Linked DNA regions of Canis lupus familiaris. The protein of the gene in region 2 binds, or shares a complex with, the protein of the main gene of each other region. Links are inferred from orthologs where the notes say so. Each region holds a gene or a part of one and is shown on either strand. Other genes may lie near its edges. The genes, in order: NUP85, RANBP2, NUP188, CETN3, NUP93, NUP205 and XPO1.

What was found.
Region 1: RANBP2 (region 2) and NUP85 share a complex: the UniProt entries of both Homo sapiens proteins name them as parts of the nuclear pore complex. The link is inferred for Canis lupus familiaris from reciprocal best matches to the Homo sapiens genes RANBP2 and NUP85.
Region 3: RANBP2 (region 2) and NUP188 share a complex: the UniProt entries of both Homo sapiens proteins name them as parts of the nuclear pore complex. The link is inferred for Canis lupus familiaris from reciprocal best matches to the Homo sapiens genes RANBP2 and NUP188.
Region 4: RANBP2 (region 2) and CETN3 share a complex: the UniProt entries of both Homo sapiens proteins name them as parts of the nuclear pore complex. The link is inferred for Canis lupus familiaris from reciprocal best matches to the Homo sapiens genes RANBP2 and CETN3.
Region 5: RANBP2 (region 2) and NUP93 share a complex: the UniProt entries of both Homo sapiens proteins name them as parts of the nuclear pore complex. The link is inferred for Canis lupus familiaris from reciprocal best matches to the Homo sapiens genes RANBP2 and NUP93.
Region 6: RANBP2 (region 2) and NUP205 share a complex: the UniProt entries of both Homo sapiens proteins name them as parts of the nuclear pore complex. The link is inferred for Canis lupus familiaris from reciprocal best matches to the Homo sapiens genes RANBP2 and NUP205.
Region 7: the proteins of RANBP2 (region 2) and XPO1 are in contact, whole or in part, in a cryo-EM structure (PDB 9B62), measured with the Homo sapiens proteins. The link is inferred for Canis lupus familiaris from reciprocal best matches to the Homo sapiens genes RANBP2 and XPO1. Residues at the interface, in NP_006258.3 of Homo sapiens: Val2508, Val2509, Ser2510, Pro2511, Pro2512, Lys2513, Phe2514, Val2515, Phe2516, Gly2841, Phe2842, Gly2843, Ser2845, Thr2846, Gly2847, Leu2848, Ser2849, Phe2850, Ala2851, Leu2853, Ala2854, Asn2857, Ser2858, Gly2859, Asp2860, Phe2861, Ala2862, Phe2863, Gly2864, Ser2865; in NP_003391.1 of Homo sapiens: Trp60, Val63, Asp64, Leu83, Asn97, Gln98, Gly101, Ile102, Lys104, Tyr105, Val107, Gly108, Ile110, Ile111, Leu134, Phe149, Asp152, Ile153, Gly155, Ala156, Ser157, Arg158, Thr159, Ser160, Glu161, Leu163, Cys164, Asn167, Leu208, Phe211.

The regions. Positions count from the first base shown.
Region 1 is NC_049230.1:6,154,619-6,158,118, reverse strand, and holds part of NUP85 (nuclear pore complex protein Nup85), read left to right. Parts: intron 1-423; coding exon 424-586; intron 587-2,971; coding exon 2,972-3,042; intron 3,043-3,500. UniProt on the Homo sapiens protein: Essential component of the nuclear pore complex (NPC) that seems to be required for NPC assembly and maintenance. As part of the NPC Nup107-160 subcomplex plays a role in RNA export and in tethering NUP96/Nup98 and NUP153 to the nucleus.
Region 2 is NC_049231.1:36,161,712-36,165,211, forward strand, and holds part of RANBP2 (E3 SUMO-protein ligase RanBP2), read right to left. Parts: coding exon 1,717-3,500; intron 1,113-1,716; coding exon 1,035-1,112; intron 1-1,034. UniProt on the Homo sapiens protein: E3 SUMO-protein ligase which facilitates SUMO1 and SUMO2 conjugation by UBE2I. Involved in transport factor (Ran-GTP, karyopherin)-mediated protein import via the F-G repeat-containing domain which acts as a docking site for substrates.
Region 3 is NC_049230.1:54,790,997-54,794,496, reverse strand, and holds part of NUP188 (nucleoporin NUP188), read left to right. Parts: intron 1-1,252; coding exon 1,253-1,307; intron 1,308-2,998; coding exon 2,999-3,072; intron 3,073-3,500. UniProt on the Homo sapiens protein: Component of the nuclear pore complex (NPC), a complex required for the trafficking across the nuclear envelope. Required for proper protein transport into the nucleus.
Region 4 is NC_049224.1:18,666,156-18,669,655, reverse strand, and holds part of CETN3 (centrin-3), read right to left. Parts: intron 2,291-3,500; coding exon 2,176-2,290; intron 1-2,175. UniProt on the Homo sapiens protein: Plays a fundamental role in microtubule-organizing center structure and function. As a component of the TREX-2 complex, involved in the export of mRNAs to the cytoplasm through the nuclear pores.
Region 5 is NC_049223.1:58,752,993-58,756,492, forward strand, and holds part of NUP93 (nuclear pore complex protein Nup93), read right to left. Parts: intron 2,670-3,500; coding exon 2,530-2,669; intron 1-2,529. UniProt on the Homo sapiens protein: Plays a role in the nuclear pore complex (NPC) assembly and/or maintenance. May anchor nucleoporins, but not NUP153 and TPR, to the NPC. During renal development, regulates podocyte migration and proliferation through SMAD4 signaling.
Region 6 is NC_049237.1:12,272,354-12,275,847, forward strand, and holds part of NUP205 (nuclear pore complex protein Nup205), read right to left. Parts: intron 1,965-3,494; coding exon 1,798-1,964; intron 251-1,797; coding exon 127-250; intron 1-126. UniProt on the Homo sapiens protein: Plays a role in the nuclear pore complex (NPC) assembly and/or maintenance. May anchor NUP62 and other nucleoporins, but not NUP153 and TPR, to the NPC.
Region 7 is NC_049231.1:62,842,491-62,845,990, forward strand, and holds part of XPO1 (exportin-1), read right to left. Parts: intron 2,893-3,500; coding exon 2,695-2,892; intron 2,082-2,694; coding exon 1,943-2,081; intron 1,757-1,942; coding exon 1,575-1,756; intron 1,488-1,574; coding exon 1,331-1,487; intron 1,239-1,330; coding exon 1,075-1,238; intron 300-1,074; coding exon 165-299; intron 1-164. UniProt on the Homo sapiens protein: Mediates the nuclear export of cellular proteins (cargos) bearing a leucine-rich nuclear export signal (NES) and of RNAs.

The DNA.
Region 1 (3,500 bases), on a different chromosome or scaffold from region 2:
AACAACAGTAAAATACATAAGCCAGTGAGTTGAGGAGTAAAAGTCTGAGAGTAAACATTCATATTTAAGCAATTTACATGTAAATAATTGATAAATGATAATCATACTTTTTTGGGGGATAGAGGCGGGAGTGTGAGTGGGGCGTGGGGAACAGAGGGAGAAGGAAGAGAATCTTAGGCTCCATACTCAGCATAGAGGCCAATGTAGGGCTCAGTCTCACAACCCTCAGATCATGACCTGAGCCAAAGTCAAGAGTTAATTGCTTAACTGACTGATCTACCCAGACACCCCAATTTATACTTTAAAAATGAAATCAACAGCAAAGAAGCTGAAGCTTTTGTAATTAGATAACTCATTTTAAAATTTAAAGTGAGTTTTTGTATGAGGGTTATAATGATTGATACTAAAATTTTCCTGTTTCAGAAAAATCAGAGACCGAACCAGGCTGCCCCTTTATCTATATCATTCGAAAGGATATAGATGTTTACTCTCAGATCTTGAGAAAACTCTTCAATGAATCCCATGGAATCTTTGTGGGCCTCCAGAGAATTGAAGAAGAATTGACTGGAAAATCCAGAAAAGCACAGTAAGTAGGCTGCTAATGGGTGTTGAAGTCCAAAACTAAATTGTGAAAGCCAAATGAAATGTGTTGTCTTCTTTCTTTCTTTTCTTTCTTTCTTTTCTTTCTTTTCTTTCTTTTCTTTCTTTCTTTCTTTCTTTCTTTCTTTCTTTCTTTCTTTCTTTCTTTCTTTCTTTCTAGAAAGAGCAAGTACACGGTGGGGAGAGGGTGCAGAAGGGAAGGGAAAAGCGCTCTCCCTTGAGCAGGGAGCCCAAGGCAATGTGGCAGGGCTCGATTTCAAGACCCTGGGACCCTGACCTGTGTTGAAGGTAGCCGCTTAGCCACCTGAGCCACCCAGGTGCCCCTGGAGCTTTTTTATTTTTTAATTAATCAATTAATTAATTAATTCATTCATTCATTCGAGACACAGGCAGAGGGAGAAGCAGGCTCCCCGCAAGAGTGGGACTTGATCCCAGACCCTGGGATCACGCCCTGAGCTGAAGGCAGATACCCAACTGCTGAGCCACCCAGGCATCCCTAAAGATTACATCTTGATAACTAAACCAGTTGCTTTCTTGTGAATGTTTTAGTTTTGTCATTTTCTTTTTCCTTTTTTTTTTTTTTTAAATTTTATTTATTTATGATAGTCACAGAGAGAGACAGAGGCAGAGAATAGGCAGAGGGAGAAGCAGGCTCCTCGCAGGGAGCCCGATGTGGGACTTGATCCTGGATCCCAGGATCACGACCTGAGCCAAAGGCAGGCGCCCAACTGCTGAGCCACCCAGGCGTCCCTCATTTTCTTTTTTAAAGACCTTATTTTGAACTAATTTTGGACTTACAGAAAAGGTAACAAAAATAATAGATTCCTGTGCATCTCTCACCCAGTTTTCTAATTTTTTTTTTTTTTAATTTTTATTTATTTATGATAGTCACAGAGAGAGAGAGAGGCGCAGAGACACAGGCAGAGGGAGAAGCAGGCTCCATGCACCGGGAGCCCGACGTGGGATTCGATCCCGGGTCTCCAGGATCACGCCCCGGGCCAAAGACAGGCGCCAGACCGCTGCGCCACCCAGGGATCCCTCTCACCCAGTTTTCTAACGTTAATATCTACATAGCCATATTATTGTTACTTGAACTAGGAAAATTACACATCAGTGTAAAGTGATTAAAGACTTCATTTGGATTTCCTTTTTTTTTTTTTTTTTTTTTAAGATTTTATTTATTCATGAGATAGAAAGGCAGAAACATAGGCAGAGGGAGAAGCAGGCTTCCTATGGGGAGCCTGATGCAGGACTTGATCTTAGGACCCCGGGATCATGACCTGAGCCAAGGCAGACACTCAACCACTGAGCCACCCAGGTGCTCCTTCATTTGAATTTCACCAGTTATTTCACAAATGCCCTTTTTTCTTTTCTGCATCTCAGGTTGCATTTGGTTTTTATCCCTTAGTCTCTTTCATGACCTTGACACTTTTGAAAAATATCAACCAGTTATTTTGGTGACTGTCCCTCCATTTGGGTTTCTCCAGTGTTTTCTCATGATTGGACAAAGGTGGTGCATTTTTAGTAAGAATACCACAGAACTGGTATGTGTCTTCAGTACATCATGTCATGGGATTCATGATGTTGATGTCTTATACTGGTTTTGTGGACCTTGATTACTTCAGTGGTTTCTACTTGGTTTCTCCACTATGAAGTTACCATCCTTCCCTTTGTGACTAGTAAGTATTTGGAGAAGAAATTTTGAGATTATGCAAATTGTATTTCTCCATGGGCAGCCCCGGTGGCTCTGTGGTTTAGCGCCACCTTCAGCTCAGGGTGTGATCCTGGAGACCCGGGATCGAGTCCCACGTCGGTCTCCCTGCATGGAGTCTGCTTCTCCCTCTGCCTGTGTCTCTGCCTCTCTCTCTTTCTCTCTCTCTCTCTCTCTGAGAGACAGAGAAAAAAAAATAAAAAAAAAAATTTTATTTGAACCACTAGTTTCACTAGTGTCCATCAGTGGATATCATCTTTTTTTTTTTTTTTAAAGATTTTATTTATTCATGAGAGACACCAAGAGAGAGGCAGAGACACAGGCAGAGGGAGAAGCAGGCTCCCTGTGGGGAGCCCCATGTGGGACTTGATCCTGGGTCTCCAGACCACACTCTGGGCTGAAGGCAGGTGCCAAACCTCTGAGCCACCCAGGGATTCCCCCAACAATTAATATGAATTCATGGATATTTATTTTATTGTATGGGTTGTCTCATGTGTTACTCATTTTGATGCTCAAGTTGTTAAAACTTTGGCTGTTAGAAACTCCTTCAGGTTGGTTCCTGTCTTTGAGCAAGCTCCTATCTTCTATTGAGAACTTCCTTCCTTTTTGTCACCACAAGATGCTCCAGGCTCATCTTGTGTGTCATTTCCTTTTTTGTAGATTGGTTCGAGTGAGTAAGAACTACCGCTCAGTCATAAGAGCATGTATGGAGGAAATGCACCAGGTTGCAAGTAAGGATTTTATGTGTGTACATGTGAGAGTAATTGAAATGTTTGGTTATAAATACCGCAAGAGAAAATGTATTTGACTTCACAGTTTAAAACTCTTAACTTTCCTATATAATCCATAATTTTTTGGCAGTTATCTTAAGTACATTTTAAAAAAATATTTTATTTATTTATTTGAGAGAGAGAGCATGAGAACATGAGGGGTAGAGGCAGAGAGAGAAGCAGGCTCCCTGCTAAGCAGGGAGCTCGATGTGGGACTCAATCCCAGGACCGTGAGATGACCTGAGACAAGGGCAGATGCTCAACCCACTGAGCCACTCAGACAGCCCTCTTAATAAGCACATTTTTCAAGTTAGAACATACTGAGTCGAGCAGCCCGGGTGGCTCAGTAGTTTAGCGCCACCTTCAGCCCAGGGCCTGACCCTGGAGACCAGGGATCAAGTCCCATGTCGGGCTCCCTG
Region 2 (3,500 bases):
GCTCTTAGGCCAGGGATACATTTTTTTTTTAGGATTGTATTTATTTGACAGAGAAAGAGAGAGAGAGAGCAGAAGCAGGAGGAGCAGCAGAGAGGAAGAAGCAGGCTCTCTGCTGAGCAGGGAGCCAACGCAAGGCTGGATCCCAGGACCCTAGGAACATGACCTGAGCTGAAGGCAGACGCTTAACCAACTGAGCCACCCAGGTGCCTGGGCCAGGGATTCTTAACCCAGGGTCCCATAGTATGCATGCAAGTATATGTCATTTACAGGAAGAAGTCCACACTTTCACATAATTTCTCAAGGAATACATTCTTAAGAATGAAGGTTAAGAGCTGTGTTAGCTAGTATTATGATTGGTATACTTTAAAAATGATGGGCCCCAAAATCAAGGATTGTCATTTTATCACTGAACATAGTTGGGCTGCTCAAGATATGTTATTAGATACTAATAAACAGTTTACATTTCCCTACCCTTGCTCCTGAAGGTCTTCAATAGACCCCCCCCCCCACTTCCTATTATTCCTCTCTAATACCAACATTGACTTTTGTAACATACCAGGTATATAATGGTCGCTATTAAAAACGGGGTCTACTTTCAAATATTATTTTTCTAAACCCTGTCCAAAAGGATAACTAAAAGGGAAACTGTTCCATGTGTATACATGCTCACAAACATTACCTTTGGCTAAAGATAAATGTTAGAAAAACACAGGTCTTCATTAAGCAGAGTCGAAAATAATACAGTAACAAAGTACAAAGCAGCAAAAGGTAAAGACCACATGGATCTATCTCAAAATATTGTTGTACAGGAGTGAGAAAACATGATATCTGAGTACATTAAAAAAACAAAAACAGTATTAAAGGGTATCATACACCACCAGTCAAAAAGTACTTGTTTAAACAGACATTCTTTTAACATGCACATTGTAGTGTTAAGTCCTTAATTTCATACAGCCAGTTATTTTGCAAAGGACTACCAGCTCCTTTAAAAAAAAAAAAAAAGTCATCTCATACTGAGAATACTAGCTCTATACCTTTGTTTTCAGGCTGTGAGGAAGGGATGCTGGTCCAAAAAGCCATTGGATTAGATTTAAAAAGGCTAAAATTAAATCCTAGAAAATAAAGAGTATTTTGTTTTTGAACATTTTGAGAATCAAAGTGAATGTGATTTTAAAATACAAAAAGCCAGAGACCCTCAATTTATACCAATTTGGCTGTCTCACATATTCATTTATCCTGGTAGTTTCATTCTTTGATCATTTAATAAATAGTGGTAAGACTACCTTATATATATTATATGTACATCTCAGTACCACGTTTTTTGAGTGACAAGAGAATACTACATTGAAGAATGAACACTTAAAAAAAATGAGACTTGAGTTAATGTTTGTGATTTAAGTACGAGTCACTAAACTTTGGTACTATATTAGGTTCTTGCTCTCTGCACTAAACATGATATAAATATCTTCCAGTTACTCAGATCTCCTAAATGACCTACACACACCCACTCTTTGTTGCTATTTAAACAGTCACAGGGAAACACATTTAGGGAGAAAAAAAAAATCTATACCAGTATTTTCACTGTTCATGAAGCACTGTGTTTATGACCCAACTTTTACTAAAACATTAGTACTCTACAAAGAGTATATGCGTTAAGCAAAATAGTTACAAATCAATGGAAGAAAAATTTGCTCACATTAAAGACTAAGTGCTTACCCTTTTCTGGTGTTTTAAATGTGTAATTAGTTGAGGACTCCTCCTTTGGAAAAGCAAAGAGATTTCTGACTTTGCCGTCTGAAGACTGTTTGCTATCTGAATTCTTCGACTCTTCACCATTAGGTTCCACTCTTCTTTCAGACCCACTCTTGACCACTGAACTGACTTCACTGCTGTTATTTTTCAAAGGTGCATTAAAACTAAATCCAAACAAAGACCCAGTGGCTGAACTGTGACCAAACGCAAATGGTTTTGATTTTTCACTACTGAAAATACTTTTAACAGACTCTGAACCAAATACAAACTTCGGAGGAGAAACCACTGCTTTTGTTGTTGCTTCAGATGTGCTAGATACTTCTCCAACTTCTGAAGTTGCGTCTGCTGTGTTATCATCCTGAGTTAAATCTGTCCGCTCTCTTGTGGTTTCTTCTAATACAGCTACAGCAATTTTGCCACATGGAGACTCTCTGGGAGTGGTTGAACGAGAAACATGAGGTGTTATCAAAGAATCTTTTTCTTGTGCTATTTTTGCTTCATCAAATATTTTCTTAAATGAGTCTGCAACATCCTGTAGTTTAAAGCGGACAGCTAAATGTTCTACTTTTCTTTCCCCATCTGCAAAATCACAGGCAGTCCACACCCACACTCGTTCTGTCCCTTTCATATTTTGCAAAGTCATGTCTGGAGTTATTCTGTGATTGGCACAAAGTTTTAACACCTGGTCCCTTCTCATCACGATGCGAACTTGCTTGTTATCATAATTCTGTAAAATCTTTATATCACCAATGCCTCTTTCTTTCCACTGACCAACATCTTTATCATACCTATAGAGTTTTGCTCTGTGACTAAAAACAACTTGTTCATTTTCCTCACCACTGGACACTTCCACTAGATCAGGCAAAGGTACAACAGGTTCAAAATACTGTCCATCTCTCTCTTCTTCTTGAGTAACATCAGATTCTTCATCAGTGCCAACTGAGGTACCACTCTGATTTAACTTGGCAGGAGACTTAGATGGACTCAAAGCAGATTTAAAACTAAAGTTAAATCCTGTTGTTGACTCACCAAAGCGGAAGAGATTTTTCCTCACGGGGCTACTTGCCAATGGAGAAGCATGCACTGAGCTACTACTCACACTATCATCCAAAGCATCTTCCCTTAAATCATAGTTGTCCCACTCCAGTGTGGGCCCTGTGTTTTCGGGATTTGGCTTGCTGATTGTATCGGAGGCATTGGCAGAACCTGCATCAGAGCTCTCACTCTCTCCATCAGTGACTTTTGTTTGATCATTTGTCAAAAACGTTTTGAAATCTTTTAATCCACTCTTCATTTCTTCTGCTCTCTGGATTAACTTGGCAGCTCTGCCAGTATCTACAAGTTTATGAGGAGTCTGAAGTGGTATATCTAATAGAAGTCTCTGGCATTCCTCAAATTTCTGTTTGAATTCTTCAGCCAGCTCTGGTGTTTTAAATTTTGCTGCCAACTGCTCTAGTTTGGCATCACCATCAGAAAAATCACTCGCTAACCACATCCATGCTCTGTCAGAGCCAGAGAGAGGCTTCAGGTTCATGGTAGTTGTTATCCAATGATTAGCACACACTTTTAGTACCTGTTCTCTTCGCATTAGCATTCGCAGTTTGCCATTTACTTCATTCTTGAGAATTTTTAAGTTTCCCAGGCCCCTTTCTTTCCACTGACTTATCTCAGCATCAAATCTAAATAATTTTACCCGCTGTGAATAAAGAACTTTTTCATCTTCTTCTCCTGTTACAAGTTCCACTTTT
Region 3 (3,500 bases), on a different chromosome or scaffold from region 2:
GTGGTTACATTTTGAAATTTAGTTCTAGACTTTAGAAAACCCCATAAGGTGTTTCCTGAAGTTCCAAAGGCATGGATGAGGGAAGGAACTTGGGTAAGCACATGGTGAAGGGTATATTTAAAGAGTTTACCAGGAATAGTGACAATAATGTGTTGTTTTTAATATAGTGTCTTGCACTGTATGTGGTACCTAGTGCTAATTAATAAGTGAACGAATATTGCATTTAGAAAATTTTCTGAAGGTACCTGGCTAGCTCAGTCAGTAGAGTGTTTGACTCTTGGTCTTGGGGTCATGAGTTTGAGCCCCGTGTTGGGTAGAGAGATTACTTAAGTAAATCTTAAAAAAAAGAAAATTGGGGCACTTGAGTGGCTCAGTGGGTTAAGTGCCTTCGGCCCAGGTCATGATCTCAGGGTCCTGGAATCGAGCCCCACAATGGGCTCCCTGCTTAGTGGGGAGTCTGCTTCTCTTCCCTCTGCAGCTCCCCTAGCTTGTGTGTTATCTCTCTGTCAAATAAAATCTTAAAACAAAACAAAAAAAAAAAAAAAAAAGAAAGATAAAATTTCTGGAGTTGATGAGGGGGCTTGAAATATACATAGTCCTTTTCTGTATTCTCCTTTTTGGTCACTACATTTTAATGAGAAGGGAGGAGATAGAAATACTACCCTGAGGTGGCTTCTTAGCATAGAAGATGTAAGATAATTCACTAATTATTGTAGTTCATTAATTCTCAAATATACATTTCTTTATACTGCTATGTATTTTATTATCGATGGCTGGTAGAACATAAATAATCATGTATCCTGCAATTAATTGTATCTTAAATGCATTAAAGTATGGTGGCAATCCTCTTTTTTTTTTTTAAAGACTTTATTTATTCATAGAGACAGAGAGAGAGGCAGAGACACAGGCAGAGAGAGAAGCAGGCACCATGCAGAGAGCCTGACATGGGACTCGATCCAGGGTCTCCAGGATCACGCCCTGGGCTGCAGGCGGTGCTAAACCACTGCGCCACTGGGGCTGCCCGCAATCCTCATTTTTAACACATCTGCTTGGTTTAGGTTATGTGTCAGCTTCTTAATTTTTATTTTGAACATCAAACTTTTAAGAACAATGTAATGGGATTAATGTCCAGAGTTTTAATAAATTGTTTTGTACATTGAGTTTCCTGGTTTCAGAGAATAGATGAAATACTGCGAGACAGCTTGGTCAAATTTGTATAATCTGAAAGTGCAAAATTCCCATTATTTTTCAGGAGCAGCCGGGAACTATGGACAATTCTGCTTGGAAGGTCAGCTCTGAGAGAACTGGTAAGTGGGTGGTGTTCTTGAGTGGATTCTGTAGTTTTTATGTAGCTTGTGTTACAATAAGCTCCCAAAACTGCCTTGTCTTTGATGGAAGAAGTAAATGCATTTTTTTATTCCTAAAACTTTATAAACATGATGTATTCCCTGTTTCTCTGTGCTGAACCATGTTGTATCTTCTAGCCCAGCTGCTAAGGTTTCTAAACCACTTCTCTTTGTTCTTTGGTGATTCCTTATCTGAAAAGATACCAGTGCTGTTCAACTAGCTGCTCAGGGTTGAGGGACAAATACCATTTTGCTCCCTCAGGCTAAGGAAAATGCTCAGGCCTTTTCTCTGTCTTGGACTTTACTTGCCTTTTCTTTTTTTTAACATGTTGCTAGCTCCTTAGGTCACAGAGGCTGTGCTTTCTAGGACATTTCCAAGTATAGTAAAGGACAGTTCATAATGTTGATCCTTAGTGTTTTAACCGACCCTGTGAGGGTAAAGTGTTAAGATGATGTTCAATTATTGCTATTATTATTATGGTAATTAACATAATGTTATACCTTTTTTCAGAGCTTTAATTTTTTTTTTTTTAAGATTTTATTTATGGGCAGCCCCGGTGGCTCAGCGGTTTAGCGTCTGCCTGCAGCCCAGGGCATGATCCTGGAGACCTGGGACTGAGTCCCACGTTGGGCTACCTGCATGGAGCCTGCTTCTCTCTCTGCCTGTGTCTGTGCCTCTCTCTCTCTCTGTGTCTCTCATGAATAAATAAATAAAATCTTTAAAAAAAAAAAAAAGCCACTCAGGCATCCCTAGAGCCTTTTTTTTTTTTTTTTTTTTTTAGGTAGGCTACATGGCCAGTAGGCTACATGGGGCTTGAACTCATGACCTTGAAATCAAGAGTCTCATGCTCTACCATCTGACCTATCCAAGATCCACTATAAAGTCTTCACATCTTTTATATGCTTTCGTCTGATAACTCTACTTCTAGGAATATGTCTTACAAGAAAGAAATCCTGAAAAAGTTTTGTGCACAAAGCTCTTTACCATAGTATTTTTAAAATTTATTTTTTATTTATTTGAGAGAAAGAGAAAGCATGAGCAGGGGGAGGGGCAGAGGGAGAAGCAGGCTCCCTGTTGAGCAGGGAGCCCTATATGGGGCTCCATCCCAGAACCCTGGGATCATGACCTGAGCCGAAGGCAGACACCCAACTGATGGAACCACCCAGGTGCCCTTACATAGTGTTATTTATATTAATAAGGAGTCACCGCTTAAGTTTATCTAACAATAGAGGTATGGTAAATAAATTATTATCCAGCCACTTGATAAAATATTATGCAACCACTAGAAAGAGTATTTATCAAGATTTTCATAATCAGGTTAAATCATCGTTAGAATGTTAAGGAAGGAAAAGAGGCTACAGAATTCTTTTTTTTTTTTAAGATTTTATTTATTTATTAGAGAGAGCATGAACGGGATGAGGGGAGAAGTGTGAGGGAGAAGCAGACTCCCCACTGAGCAGGGAGCCCGACGTGGGGCTTGACCCCAGGATCCTGAGATATGACCTGAGCCAAAGTCAGATGCTCAACCAACTGAGCCACTCAGGTGCCCTGAGAATTCTCTTTTCAAAATGATTTCAGCTGTGGGGAAAAGCATATTAAAAAAGACTTAGGATTATGTAAACCCTTATATAATTTCTTTGTTCTTTTCCAGAATCAGATCGAGGCAGAACTGAATAAACATTGGCAGCGGCTCTTAGAAGGGCTGTCCTACTATAAACCACCCAGGTATGGCTATTCCATGCGTCTGGTTAGAGTAATTCCCCTGAGGAAGCTGGGGTAGTGAAACTGTTGTTGTGTATGATTTTGTGATACTGCTGGGTCAGGTAGATTATAGAGAATACAGTTTGGTTACCAGTGGAAGAGAGTTGGGCACATTTTTTCTGTCTGTTGAAAGGAAGGGAAATTCCTTTTAGAAATATAGTGTTGTTGAATCTAGTTATATAACTCTAGTATTTGGGGAGGGGGAGTCATTAACTTTTCAATTAATAGTTCTAGTGTTTATTTTGGTCCACTGTGTTTGTGTACAGTGCTGTTGGCACCAGGTGCTAGGCTAGGGCAGTGAGCAGTGATAAGAGTAGCTGACCACTTACAGAGTGTTTACTGTGTATCAGTTACTATTCTGAGTATCATAGGCCTCATAAAAGCCCACTAAG
Region 4 (3,500 bases), on a different chromosome or scaffold from region 2:
TTACTTGTTCCAAAGTATAAAATAGACACTCATTTGTGGTCAGTTATCATTGAAAAGTAATTAACAAATGGAGAAAATATACAGTTCTTGGCTGTTTGATTTCTAAACAGTAATAAATTTTTATTTGACTACTGGTATTTTCAATAGGTAGCCTTTAAGATAGCTAAAGTATGTGCTAAGTTGGTCAAAAGTTCTATCTTTCAAAGTCAGAGCAGATGTTTAGCCATGGTCATTTATTCTGGAAAGAACCCAGTATCAGCGGCTCCAATAATAACATAGAAAAATGAAGGGTAAGGAAAGGGTGAAGATGGCATGGGACTCTGACTTCAACTGCTAATAAAATCACATTTTAAAACTGTATTTACTTAAGATGTTATAATATGTTGCATAAAATCATTAATGACGATGATACAATGCCTAAAATAGCCTGCAACTATGAAAAAAATGTAATCAGAAAAACATGAATACAAGACTTTTTATGTTCAAGTGGATACATACACAATTATTTCCGGGTACTAAAGCAAAGTGAAACAAAGACAATTTTTTAAAGTAATAATAACAAATACTAAATAGTACTTACTATTATAGCTAGGACCCCTTCTAATAAACATTTGACATATTTTATGTATTAACTTATTTATTCCTCCCAAAAATCACAAGATACTACAACTATCCCACTATATATAGCTGCAAATGAGTCAGAGACAAGAAAAATGACCAAGTCATACAAAAACCAATATCTGAACCCAGGCAATTTGGTTCTAAAATGTCCATGATAAACCACTACATTGTATCAAATGTGCCTGAACTGTAGCTCTTTCCTAATAGTATCATTGCCACTATATCCTAATACCTGTTTCTATAAATTAACAATCTAAGTTGGAACTTGGACTAAGATCACTAACTGTAGAAGAACTTCAATAATGAAAGACTAAAAGAATAAAGATGGTTCCCTCCCCCTTCTCAAGTAAATAAGTCTACAGATTAGGAAAAACAACAACAATAACAACAATATGCTCCCCAAGAGATGAGCTGCCTTTCTAAACAGTTATTTCTTAATTTATAAAGTGGGGATATTCTGTGTTGTTCTTCCTTTCTCTTTTAGGTTTATCCTTTAATTTTCCTCTTCCTCACCTTGGTTTTGAGTTTTCAAATTAAAAAAATAAAACCAATGATTTAATGATATGAATCTATCTTTTCCAAACTCCCATTTGTTTTTGCTTTCTGTACTGCTTCATGCAGTACAATATTCATGCTGAATATTTACACAAAAGGTTTGTAACTGGATTTGTTTCTAAATTTTTAAAATATCTTAAAATAACTATATGCTTATATCATGACCCATATTAAGTATTACTGCTTTAGAAAATTAAACTCTGAATAGATGCACATTCTATGTATAATATTCTATGCAATATATTTAAATCATAATAACAAAGGCCTTGCTTTCCAGAATCTTCTATTCTAAAAAAGCTTGATATATGCTATAACTAATTCACTAAAATCAACTATATAAAAATTCAATCATATTAAGCTCATGACACATTATGCTTAGTTGGTTATTCTAAAATGTTTTCTCCTGCTTGAGTTTGCCAAATGCCTTTATTACAATCCTCTCCCCATTCTCAACTTTAAACAGATGACTTTATTCACTGAGATCAAGTCATACAGAATATGCAGCCCCTTATAAGCTTTGTCAACCTGAAGGCATGCACTTCATCTTCAGCCAAAGATACCAAATGCTATAGGTTTTCTCTTCTCCCACTCTGCCAACAAAAATCACACACCAGAATGGTCTTAGGAAATATTTTCCAAACAAAAGGATACCAAATTTTCTGTTTTAGTCTAAGAAAATAATTTTTTGATCACCTTTTTAGTTTTATCACATGATATAAACTTAGGAAGACATCATTCCACAAAAAGCTACATAATAGTTCCTTAATTAGAATCTTCAGAACAAAAGACAAAATGATAAATCCCATAGTGAAGCTGTAAATCTTATTTTTTTCTTTGAAAATAAGTAAGAAGAGTGCCCCCAAATCCCTATAATAATATCTACATTATACAGCAATGTTCAATAACAAAATTCCATAACCCAGAGAATTAAAAAAAAACTAATATTAACCAGATAATTTCCTAACAAGTGCTAATTACAAAGACTATTAAAATACACACCAACTTCATTAAAATCTTCAAAGGTGATTTTCCCTGTGGCTTCTCTGTCATAATCTTTAAGAATCTTCAGTACATCAGCTTTTTTTACATCAAACCCCAAGGCTCTCATTGCCACCTTTTGGATTAAAAGGGAAAAGCAAATTATAAAGCACTCTTTCAAAAGAAGTGACTTCCAATTCTTAAATAAGTTTTTACAACTTAAGAGATGTCAGCACATTAATAAAACATTTAAATCTTTTGCAAGTTTTATGTCTCTTAAAAAATCAAAGTGATAGCTTTTCTCCACTACTGAAATAGCAACTTTTTCATTTACATATCCTTTTTTATATGACAAACCAATCAAATGTTTATAAAATACACCATACAAGACTGACTTACTGTACAAATCATTTTAACAAATTATTTGTTCTCAAATGATTACCAAAATGAAAAAAAGTATAGCATAAATATTAAAAATGTATACAACAGAAGAGATAAAAAAATTAAAGTAAGAGTTATCATGAGACTCTACATGATTAGTTATTAAGTAAATAGTCCAGGCCCTGAGTTTAAAGAAAGAAAAGATCTTGTTACTATTAACAAAAAGGAGAGACAGGATACTGATTAAAGAAATCTTACTCGGAAAGGTTCCATTTGTTCCCTGATATATGGATGAAATAAAGTAGAAGAGCACTGAGAAAAGGATGACTGGCATTAAAACAGATACCATAATATATAGGCTTAAGGACAGTGAACAGAGCAGCTTACCATACCTGAACCGGAAGAGCTCAGGTGGAAACAAGTCCTTAGCAATGAGAAAAGTAGGTAGTAGTAAAAGTGTGGGGAGTATTCAATAAAAATAAAAGGAATCTGAACTTTATGCAGTGTACAATGAGGAGCCACTAAAGGTTTACGAACAATGAATAATAGGAGGAAAGAGTCTTAGAAAGGTGAATCTAATGGTAGTATACAGAGCAAACCAGAAATGGAGAAAACATTTAAGAAGATCCAGGTATGAAGTAAGATCCCAAACCAAGATAATAACAATGGTAACAAATGGAAGAGACAGGGCAGCCCGGGTGTCTCAGCAGTTTAGCACCATCTTCAGCCCAGGGCGTGATCCTGAGAACCTGGGATCGAGTCTCAGTCGGGCTCCCTGCATGGAGCCTGCTTCTCTCCCTGTGCCTGTCTCTCTCTCTCTGTGTCTCTCATGAAAAAATAAATAAAATTAAAAAAAAAAAAAAAAATGGAGCTACCAAAATGTCGCCTTTCTCATGCTGAGTGTGAGATCTGTACTACCCTAAACTTTAATTTTCCCTCACATCTTTATAAATAATTCTAGGCCC
Region 5 (3,500 bases), on a different chromosome or scaffold from region 2:
ATAACTTTCTAAATATGTTTCTTATCCAAAGCAAAACAGGATGACTCAAAAAAGTCAGGTGCCCCATATGCACAAAGATAGTCGACACCAGATTAAATAAAATAACAGAATGAGAGAGTGTGAGAGAGAAAGAAACATCTAAAAGTCAATTACAAAAAAATAGACTCAATGGAATGTTACATAAATGATACTGACAAAGAATTTAAAAAGCAAACTACAAAAACCACGTACTGTACACATTTGGATCATAACTGTAAAAAACAAAAAAATATTCATATATCAAAAACAGGGGAAAAGGAAATTGAAAAGGTACAGGAGCCTCTGGATGTGGTACAGGAGACCTCTTCCCTTTTTGTCAGGTCTTTTGGCATTTCCCCCACATTTCTATAATGAGCATGTAGTATTTTTGTAGTGAAAAATAAACAAAATTCAATTAACAAATATAGTAAGTCCCCCATCAGTGAGAGTATTTAAAAGCAGAGGTTGGAAAAGAGATTAGAGAACTGAGTCCCATAGCAGCCAGGACAAACATGCCCACTACAGTCTCTTTCAGCTTGAATTAAGACAACTCGTGTGCTCAGGCCTAAATTGAAGAAGCAGCTGGAATCCCTTCAGGACTTAAAAAATATGTATCCTGTTTTGAATCTGAAATGTAGCAGGGAACAGATCAACCAACCCTGTATTTTCAGCTTTATATGCAAAAAGCATTTACGTCTCTGTTTACTCTACTATGTTGTCTATGGATCTGCATCGGCAAAAATACTTTAAGAGTGAGTACAATTGGGGTGTTGGGTGACTCAGTCAGTTAAGCATCTGACTCTTGGTTTTGGCTTAGGTCATGATCTCAGGGTTGTGGGATCAAGCTCTGCATCAGGCTCCACACTCTGCACTGAGTGTGAAGCCTGCTTGGGACTCTCTCTCCTTCTCCCTCTGACCCCATTCCCCCGCCAACAATCTCTTCTTAAAAAAAAAAAAGAAAAAAGAAAAAAGGTGAGTATAATTATCCTGAAATAATCCCTTCATCAAAAGATGACAATTCTTAAAAAGCATGCCACCAGGGAGTGACACCACTAGAATGAAAGGACAATAAAGTTACAATAAATATGGACAGGAAACTCCCAAGTAGCTCTAAGTGCTGCCAAAGGAATTAAGGGGGAAAATTTTTTTTAAGACAAATAAATAAGTGAAATGAAAAGAATAATAAAAGACATGGAATGGCTTACCAGATATAAAACTAAGGAATGCTTAGTACCACTGGTGAAGTCAAGCACCAATGTTAAAGAGTAGGTTTACTAAAGAAAAAACAGTCATGAGCAGTCATACTTAAAGGTTTTTATATATTGTAAAAAAATTTTGACTCTTTTGCTGCGTGTAGCAATACTACAATATACGTTAGGATCTTTATGGCTGCAGATCAATATACCCAAAACTTAACATTACAAAAATTTAGCAAAAGTCTAATAAAATATTTTATGAACTTTTTTGTGCCTATGCAAAAAAAGAATAAAGACAAAAAAAATTTGGAGTTCTAGATTTTTCTTAACCAGGGAATGTAGGCTAGTGAGATTATGTCTGATGGTGTTCATCTCATGTATAATGATTGTATAATTATTACAGTATTCAGTATAAAAGTACCTATTCTCTGAGGTACAGAGTCTAAATTACCTCAGTTAATTCACAAGGAAATCTTATGAATTTTCTAACTTTCTAACACAGTATTATTATGTTGATAAAGGGCAACCACACTACATGGGCACTAGCAGCCACATGGGCTCATTGGAAAGAGGTGTAATTGAACAAGTGTATTCAACTCTGCTTTCTCTTTTCCACCTAGCAGACGGGAGCCCAGCACCCTGCCTCTGAAATAAAGAGTCTGTTGAACATTTGGGACAACTCCTGCTGGCAAATTCAGAGCTAGAAGGAATGTCTACAGGGAGGAATGAATGGCACAGGTCCTACCAACGAAGGGGACAATAGTTAGGACACAAGGGCACAACAACCCCCTCAGTGACCGAACTCCAGTTAGGGAGGAGGTGGCAAAGCCTCCCAGCACCAACTACAGGCATTAGCAGCTGGGAAGGATCCAGACACATAGGGATTAATGGAATAGAGCCAGAAGGAAAATAAAGGGTCAAGGACTCTTCCTAAGGCTTGAAAATGGTAATATTGCCAGATGTAAAGATTAAAATGCTGAAAGAAGACAAAGCCTAAGGACTCATGCCTAAACCTCACTAGGAAACCGGATCGTGACCTAAGGCAATGGCCTAATAATTATGATGTCTCCATACTAAGGGACAGAGAGAGGAGAAAGAGAAAATGAAAAGTCTAACAGTGCTCCCACTTGCCATGATTTTTTATTGTTGCAGAAACAGTCCTAGTAAAGAAATGTTTCTGAAAACAGGATGGGATCTCTCAGCCTTACTCAACCCTGTACTATGGAGCACTTAGACACAGAACTACTGAACACTTGAGAAACAGCTGACTTCTAGGGATTCTGAAGCCAGCCCCACTGTGCCAGGGCTGCCTTACCTCTGCTCGAGGTATGCCAAGGCCTGCCTGACAAACTCCATGCGCACTTCCACGCTGCTGCGGCTCTTCAGGGCATCAGTCGCTGGTACCAACAACACATCTGTCATTTGTTTTACCATGGTCCACATGTCAGAGATGTTCTGCACATAAATGAGACTGTGCGTGACAATGCTGCAGGGCTAGAGAAATGGTCTGGCTCTTCGTAGCTCTGATCTCAAAGGCAGAGAAGGTAAGGTAGAGGAAGAAGTTTAATGTCTTCTGTCTAAGGCCTTCAGGCTTAAGCTCAGTACAGAAGATGCACCTCTGCCCTGCCAGTTGCTGATGAGCACCCTCCTGCCCCAAGCTGGTTTTCAGATCAATTACTGTTCCAGGTCTGACATAACCACCCACATAATTAAGACCACAGAATAGTAAAAGAAACACTGAATCTCAGTGGGTTATCCCTTATGAGAAAGTGAATACATTTATAATTGTCCAAAGCTCTAGGAGTTTAAACTCAAGTAGCTGCATTTCAATCCTTACAAGGTCATGTGAGTTTCTTAAGGCTTAAAATAAAGAGTTTAACCTAAATAATAAAGGTTTTGTCCTCCCAAAGATTCTCCAAGGGCCACTGCTCTTACCCCATTTTGTGAGTGTCGCAACCTCCCATTTTCCTTCCCACTCATTCCCTTTAAAAGACGCCTCCATGACAGCCTCCCAGGAAAAGAACAGGCATTCTCTCCTTCGTGTTACCACCACACAGATGGGACTCACTCTCCCCAGAATCCTTCTAGCTGTAAATCTCCCCCTTAAAAATGGATCCCCTGAACACTTTGCAATATTCTAAAGTTAAGAATCCTTGGGAGATAGCACTGATTGGAGAAAAGCAGGTTTACTTTTTCCAAAGGAAGAGAGAAAATCCTGTTCTCACCGTCTCCCTCAGAAATTAAAACTGTAGAAAATCCCCAAATGTGACTCTTTCTAAGTGGTGA
Region 6 (3,494 bases), on a different chromosome or scaffold from region 2:
TCATGTCCCAATATGTCCCTTTTATACAGTTTTGCTGTGTGAGAATCAGTAAACAGTTCCCGCATTTAAAGATTTTCTTAAAGGTCACCACCACTCAAGTTCCCACTGTGACTTCATTAAGGATACAAGAACAGAGGGAAAGCAGTTTGGCTCGATTATTGATCAACTTCACCAAACGCCGTCTTGCTAGAACATATTTCTGGGCAGTAGAGATTTTCTCAACACCAACAGGCATCACAGACTGACACAACTGAGAATCAGAAACAAACGCAGGATTAGCGATTACATAAACTAACAGAAACTTCATGAAGAGAGGGTCACTTATGACAGGCCCTGCAAAAAAACAAAGAAGTTTAAACATTCCTGCAGATGAGAGTTATCATCTGGTTAGGAAGCTGGTAACTTTATAAAACCGAGAGCCAAAGTAGTGGAATTCACAAATGAAGACTCCTCTGCCGATTTCTGCAAAAGGTCTTATCTCTGTAACAGATGTTTCCAATCTGCTGAGGGGCCGACCAACCCTGAATCTCTTGTCAAACTAAAACAAAATTCAACAGTAGGTTTTTCAGGCCGTGGGTCTAACAACGCCATGGAGATTTTCTGTAACAGCTGTCATGTATCTTCTGAAGAAAATGTAAAAGCCGATTTCTACAGCATTAACTAAAATAGGCTCATCAACCAGAACCTCCTTTCATCACACCTCTGTTTGGCATAAGCACTGCGGTCCGATTCAAAATTCAGCTGCTGGGTTGGACAGAAGGCAAACTGAAGTGGGGCTGGGAGGGCACCGCACACTTGCCAGGAAGGCTGCCGTTTCTCTGGCGAGTGCTGGTGTCACCCGTAAGCTACGCGTGTTGGGGAAGGGCTGCCAGATGTAAAGCCCCCCACTTCAGGGATTACTAGAACCTCATCAGTAACTCCCGCCTCAGGACCTGCTAGCTGTGTGGCTTTGGGTAAATTATTCAAACTTCCAGGGCCTCCACTTCCTCATCTGAGAAAATAGGAGTGGCTACACTATCTGCCTCATGTATTGCAACAGAACTTGTCTGGCACATCAGAAACACCCACCAACTGCTCCCTATGATTGCTGGAAGCAGGCAAGAGGGAGGAGGTTTTGACTACTCTGAAGAGTAATGCGGAGCTTTTCAGGACAGTTGGTGCAAAGGAGGAATGGCAAAATGGCTCCACATCTAGGCTGCCACGGGCCACCAGGGAGCTTCAGCACCGGCCAGGGTATGCCTTGTGTCATTCAGCTGTGCCGGATGGGAGAGAAAGTGGCTACTTAGGATGTAAGCCTAGCGACTCAGTATCTTTAGCTACAATATCGGTGAATGATTCTGGGTCACTGAGGGCAGGCAGTCAAGTCTTATATGCTATCCCATTTGTCTGAAAAATTCTCTAAACAGATACTGAAGATGCTGAAGACACAGAGACCTCTTACTTAAGGGATCACTTCTACTGAATAAGCATCTGCAACAGAAACCCAGGTTTCTCAGCACAGATTTCAGAGTATGAATTACCAAAACTCTACTTCAAAAGCCAGCTGCCGTTCTACTGAAGGGTAGCAGGTGGTGTTCCTGAACAGATGCACTTCACCATCTTCCATTCAAGTGTTGCCCTGATTACCAGGTGTGGTGCTACGGGGAGGACTCTTCTTCAAACCACACAGAGGCATCATTTCAAGCCCTTTTATCACTGCATACATCATCTTTACACACAAGTCGGACACCAATATTTTGGTCATTAGGAAAAGCAAGGATTCTCCAAAATCTCCATGGCTCATTATAAGATTCATACCTCTTTTATCTCATCTGGTGGAAGCTGCTCTACATTCTGTAGCTTGTTGACACTCCGTCGGTGACTGTCATAATAGCTGAAGAAATCATTAGCGCTCTGTTTCAGCAGGTAGACAATAATGCCCAAACCTGGCAGGCGCCAATATGGAATCACTGGAGCTTGGGTATCTAATAGAGTTGATAATAAAAACAGAATGTTCCACTTACAAGAATATTAAATGAATTTCAAATGACCTGTTTTAAAACAAGGGATGCCCAGAACTGAAGGGCATGTAAACTATTATTAAAACCAACCCACAACTACTTTTAAATACTTCTGACAGTTCAGAGGAGTGGTGAAGTGCCATGGTGATCTGGGACTCAAATCTAGGCAGTTCATCATCAGTCTCTGTTCTTAACTGCTAGCTTAAACTGCTTCTCTACAAATGAATATTCCTGAATCTACCACAAACCCACCCCCTCCTGTGTCTACGACTGGCAAAGGTTAAGTTTGCTGATTAAATCTTTAAAGAGTCTAAGGAAGAATAAAGACCAATATATATTAGGCTTCATAAAGTTCATCAAGTATTAAAGATCGGAGAATGGCCTAGTATGTGAAAGACAGGCTCAAAGTGAAAAGAAAGCAAGTGAAATTTTAATTGTTAGTGATGATTATTAATGTTTTTGAAGAATAAATGACAAAACTATAATTTCATTTGAAAATGTTATGATCAGGCTCAACTTAACTTGTTTTAAAATGTTAGATTCGGGGCAGCCCCAGTGGCTCAGCGCTTTAGCGCTGCCTTCAGCCCAGGGCATGATCCTGGAGACCCGGGATCAACTCCCATATCAGGCTCCTGGCATGGAGCCTGCTTCTCCCTCTGCCTGTGTCTCTGCCTCTCTCTCTCTGTCTCTCATGAATAAATAAATAAAATCTTAAAAAAAAAAAAAAAAAGATTCAAGGGGGAAGAACGGAGCCCCTTGGACACTTTATAATGGAGTTGCACAGAGTTGTTAGTTCCTGGCACCATTTACATGAAACAGTGGTTAGATACTGTTAAACTAATATACTTTAATAACACCATCCTACTAAATCTTTTATGTGATTAAGCAATTTTCAGGGAAAATAAGATCTTGAAGATGAAAATGTGACAAAATGATTTGCAGAAAAATCACAGAGCAAGCACCACTAACATCCGAATAGACTGTCTTCTGAGGGTCCCATGGGATAACAGCTTTCATCAACCCACAACCCTCACATTCCAGATCTCACCTACTGGGTCCTTAGGAAATCACAGACTATGTCAGTTTACTTAGCATCCACACTTTACTTTGCTGTGATACAGAAATTTGGAGCTATACTACGAGACCCAATTCAGACACTACCTTCAGCTTAACATGATCTTACGCATAAACCGTCTGTTATGTTTGTACATTTTTCACCCAGCTAGTTTACTTGCCCATCTTAGATACTTTCTTTGGGGTCTCAAATACTATTCAAACCCAAAGCTCTTTGAAATTTATCCTTAGAAAATCTTGAATTTCTCTGTCCTCTTGAGCTCTCTAACCTATCCACAGGACTGACACCAGTACCTCCTTACTGATCTTTCTTAAAGTCATTGACAAATTTTCCCACTAATTACACATAAAGAAAAGAGCTGCATTTCACTGGAGCCATCTAGAGCTTATTTTAATCACAGCAACTTAATCCTCAATTAC
Region 7 (3,500 bases), about 27 Mb from region 2:
AACACAGAAATCTTTATTACCTGTAGCTACAACTATGAATAGATTAACATTCCCAATATACCATCAAATCAGAAAAAAATGACAGTATAGTTTTTGTTACTTTTGAAAATAACACGATCTTCTTGAATTCCATTTGAACTTTGATAAAAAGGAGTAGAACTTACTTTGGTTGCCTGCTGGATTATGCTATCCCAAACCTGATTAGGGAGTAGCATGTATTTTTCTATCAAATGTTCTTGTACTGTTTGGTCTGTTTGTGCACCAATCATGTACCCCACAGCTTCATAAAATGTATGGACCTATGTAAAATGGCAGACATTTTATGTTTATGCATCATAAGGATAACCACAAACAACCAACTTACATATGTATTAGACCTTCTTTTTTGAGTCTGAGAAACAACTTACATTAGGTAAGAAAATAGCCTAATAAACTTCTGGCTAAATTTTTGTCCTACAATGAAAACTTAATGACTCCAGCAGAGATGTGGGTTGGGGAGATAGGTGATATAGGTGATAGGGAGTAAGTAGTGCACTGGGTAATACATGGAATTGCTGAATCACTATATTGTACACACATAACTAATATAATACTGTATGTTAACTATACTGGAATTTAAAAAAATTTAACCATAGATGTATGTTGAATGAATCCAATGGTGTTACTCTATTGCCATTTATGAATTCTGAGTAAAATACTAGTCATGAGGTGCCTGGGTGGCACAGTCAGTTAAGCATTCAACACTTGGGTTTTGGCTTGGGTCATGGTCTCATGGTCCTGAGATTGAGCCCTCCCACCCACCATGTACTCTTACTCTAATAAACAGACCTTTAAATAAGAAAAAAAAAAATAGTAGTCATTTTCTTTTCTTTGGGTGGAGACTGGGTCAAGGGGGGAAGAGAATCTTAAGCAGGTTCCCCACCCCTGTGAAGCCTGATCTCATAACCCTTGAGACCATGACCTGGGCCAAAATGAAGTGTTGGATGCTCAACCAACTGAGCCACCCACATGGGCACCGTAGTATTCATTGTCTATGAATATGCATACTACTACGATGCTCAGTGCTCTACGTACCTGCTGAGGTTGAAGATCACAAATTATAGTGTTGATATTGTTCAAAATTTCATCAATAAATGGCATTACTTCTCCAACCTGAACCTGAACAAAATGCCTGCGGCATTTCTGAGCTATTTTAATAAAAGTATCACAAGCCATGTCTTGGACTCCATCATGGGTCTCTAACAAAACAAAAATATTATCAAAAAATTTCAAGAAAATTTGGGGTTTCTTTTGTTCAATAAATACAAATAGCTGAATAATAAGGATTTACCATGCATGAATTCAAACAACTTGTTAACTACAGTCTTCAAAAACTTCCAGTGAGCTCTTAAAAATCTTGGATATTGACCTACTATGTACATGATATTTGATGCAATAATAGCTTTATTATCTTTGCCTCTTTTCTGTTCACATAATCCTAAAAGATCCTGTAAAATGAGAGCAATTTCAGTCATTTATAATAATACAATTTAGTTACCCAAGAGCTCAGTTCACATGTAGTATCCCTTGCATACCTTTATAACAGTAACAAGAAAGCGTTTTTCATCCTCTTCATGCATTGCTCCACTAATGGAGCCTATTGCCCAACACAATGTATTCAAATTTTTCCATGACCACTCTGTACCATTCACTTGATTGTGAAGCTTCTCAGTCATTATTCTTTCTGTATCTACATAATCCAGATGAGTAAGATAAACTACAAAAGAAGGGAAAAGGTTCCAAAAGTTCAAATTCTAAACTATGAACAAAAAACATTTAATAAGAAATAGCACAGCAATAAAAGTGATTATTAACAGATTCAGAAAAGTACGCGCCATTTCTTAGTTATTTCCACCCCAGAAGAGAATTAAAAAGATCAAACCGGCAGGATTTCTTGACTCACCTAATGTTTCTCTCATATTCTTATACAAATTAATGGAATCTGTATCCTTCATGAATTCTCTGACAACTTCTCCTTGATCATTTTCTACAACCAATACTTCTTCAGGTTTAGCCATACGACTAACCATCAATAAACGGACCTGCTCAACCAAACAAGAAAAATCTATTACATCTTTGAAATAAGCACTTCACACTTTAGACCAACATACCCCCAAAACTGTTCCCACAATACAGAACAGAAACATTACGAAATGTAATTTGAGGGGCACCTGGATGGCTCACTCTGTTACATGTCTGCCTTTAGTGCAGGTCATGATCTAGGTGTCCTGGATCAAGCTCCAAATCGGGCTCTCTATTCAGCGGGGAGTCTGTTCCCTCTCTCTCAAATAATAAAATCTTAAAAAATGTAATTCTACAACAATGATTTCCATGCATTGTTTATCACGAATAAAACATAAAGTATTAACTTTCCTGTTGAGAGTGATTCATTACGCCGGTCGGTGATCTTTTAATTTGCATTTCTAATAAACTCACTGGAATGCAATCTGCTTCTACGAAAACACTATGGTTCTTAAAACAATCCTTCTCAATTTTCTAGCTTTGAAAACATGGTCAAGTTGTTGGATGCTCTTTTTCTACCTTTTATTTAGATTATAAAAGTCAAAATAAAATAAAACCCACTATTTCAGTAAGTCTTCAAAATTACAGCAAGAAATAGATAGGAGTAGCATTTACCACCCACTTTATTGTTACCTTGGATAACACGGGCAAATATAGCTGCCTCCTGGGAGGAACATCAAAATGTTGACTTCCGGATAGCAATGGAGAAGCAGATGTAGAGAACGGGCTCTCTCTATAAAGTTCAGCTGCCAAGTGATTCCAGTACTCAAGACAAATCTTGAAGATTTCAGTTTCCTCCACTTCTGATACCAACAACATATAATGAAGGGCCTACAAAGAACACCGAAAATATTAAAAATAATTCCTTACATTATTTTTTTCCTTACATTATTTTTTCCCACAAATTGCCTGCCATTTGTTATGTTAATAAACATAAAAATAAAATTCATATTTCATTTTGCACAATTCTGAGGTTTCATTATTCATCTAATAGACTAGAAATTCTCTAGGAGCAAGTTGTACTTTCTTCAAACATGTTCTACAACACTTCGAAAATTTTGTATATTTTTTGGTCAATACACATGTTAAAAGTTCCCTAAAAACGTATGGATATTAAGGGACATTTGATACAAATACTCAAAAGGTTTAAACAATCTATATGTCTATTGATTCATGAATGGGTATACAAACTAGGATACAATACAATGTATTGTTCTGTTATTCAGCTATAAAAAAGAAATACTGGTACATGCTGTAACACAAATGAACCCTGAAAATACACTAGGTGAAAAACACTAATTACAATACACCATATACTAGGAGTTCACTTACATTAAAGGTTCAGAATAGATAAATCCATAGGGAACAAATTAGTGGTTGCTAGAGGCAGGAGAAGACCAGAACGAAGGACCTATATATTTCAATGGGTACATCACCCT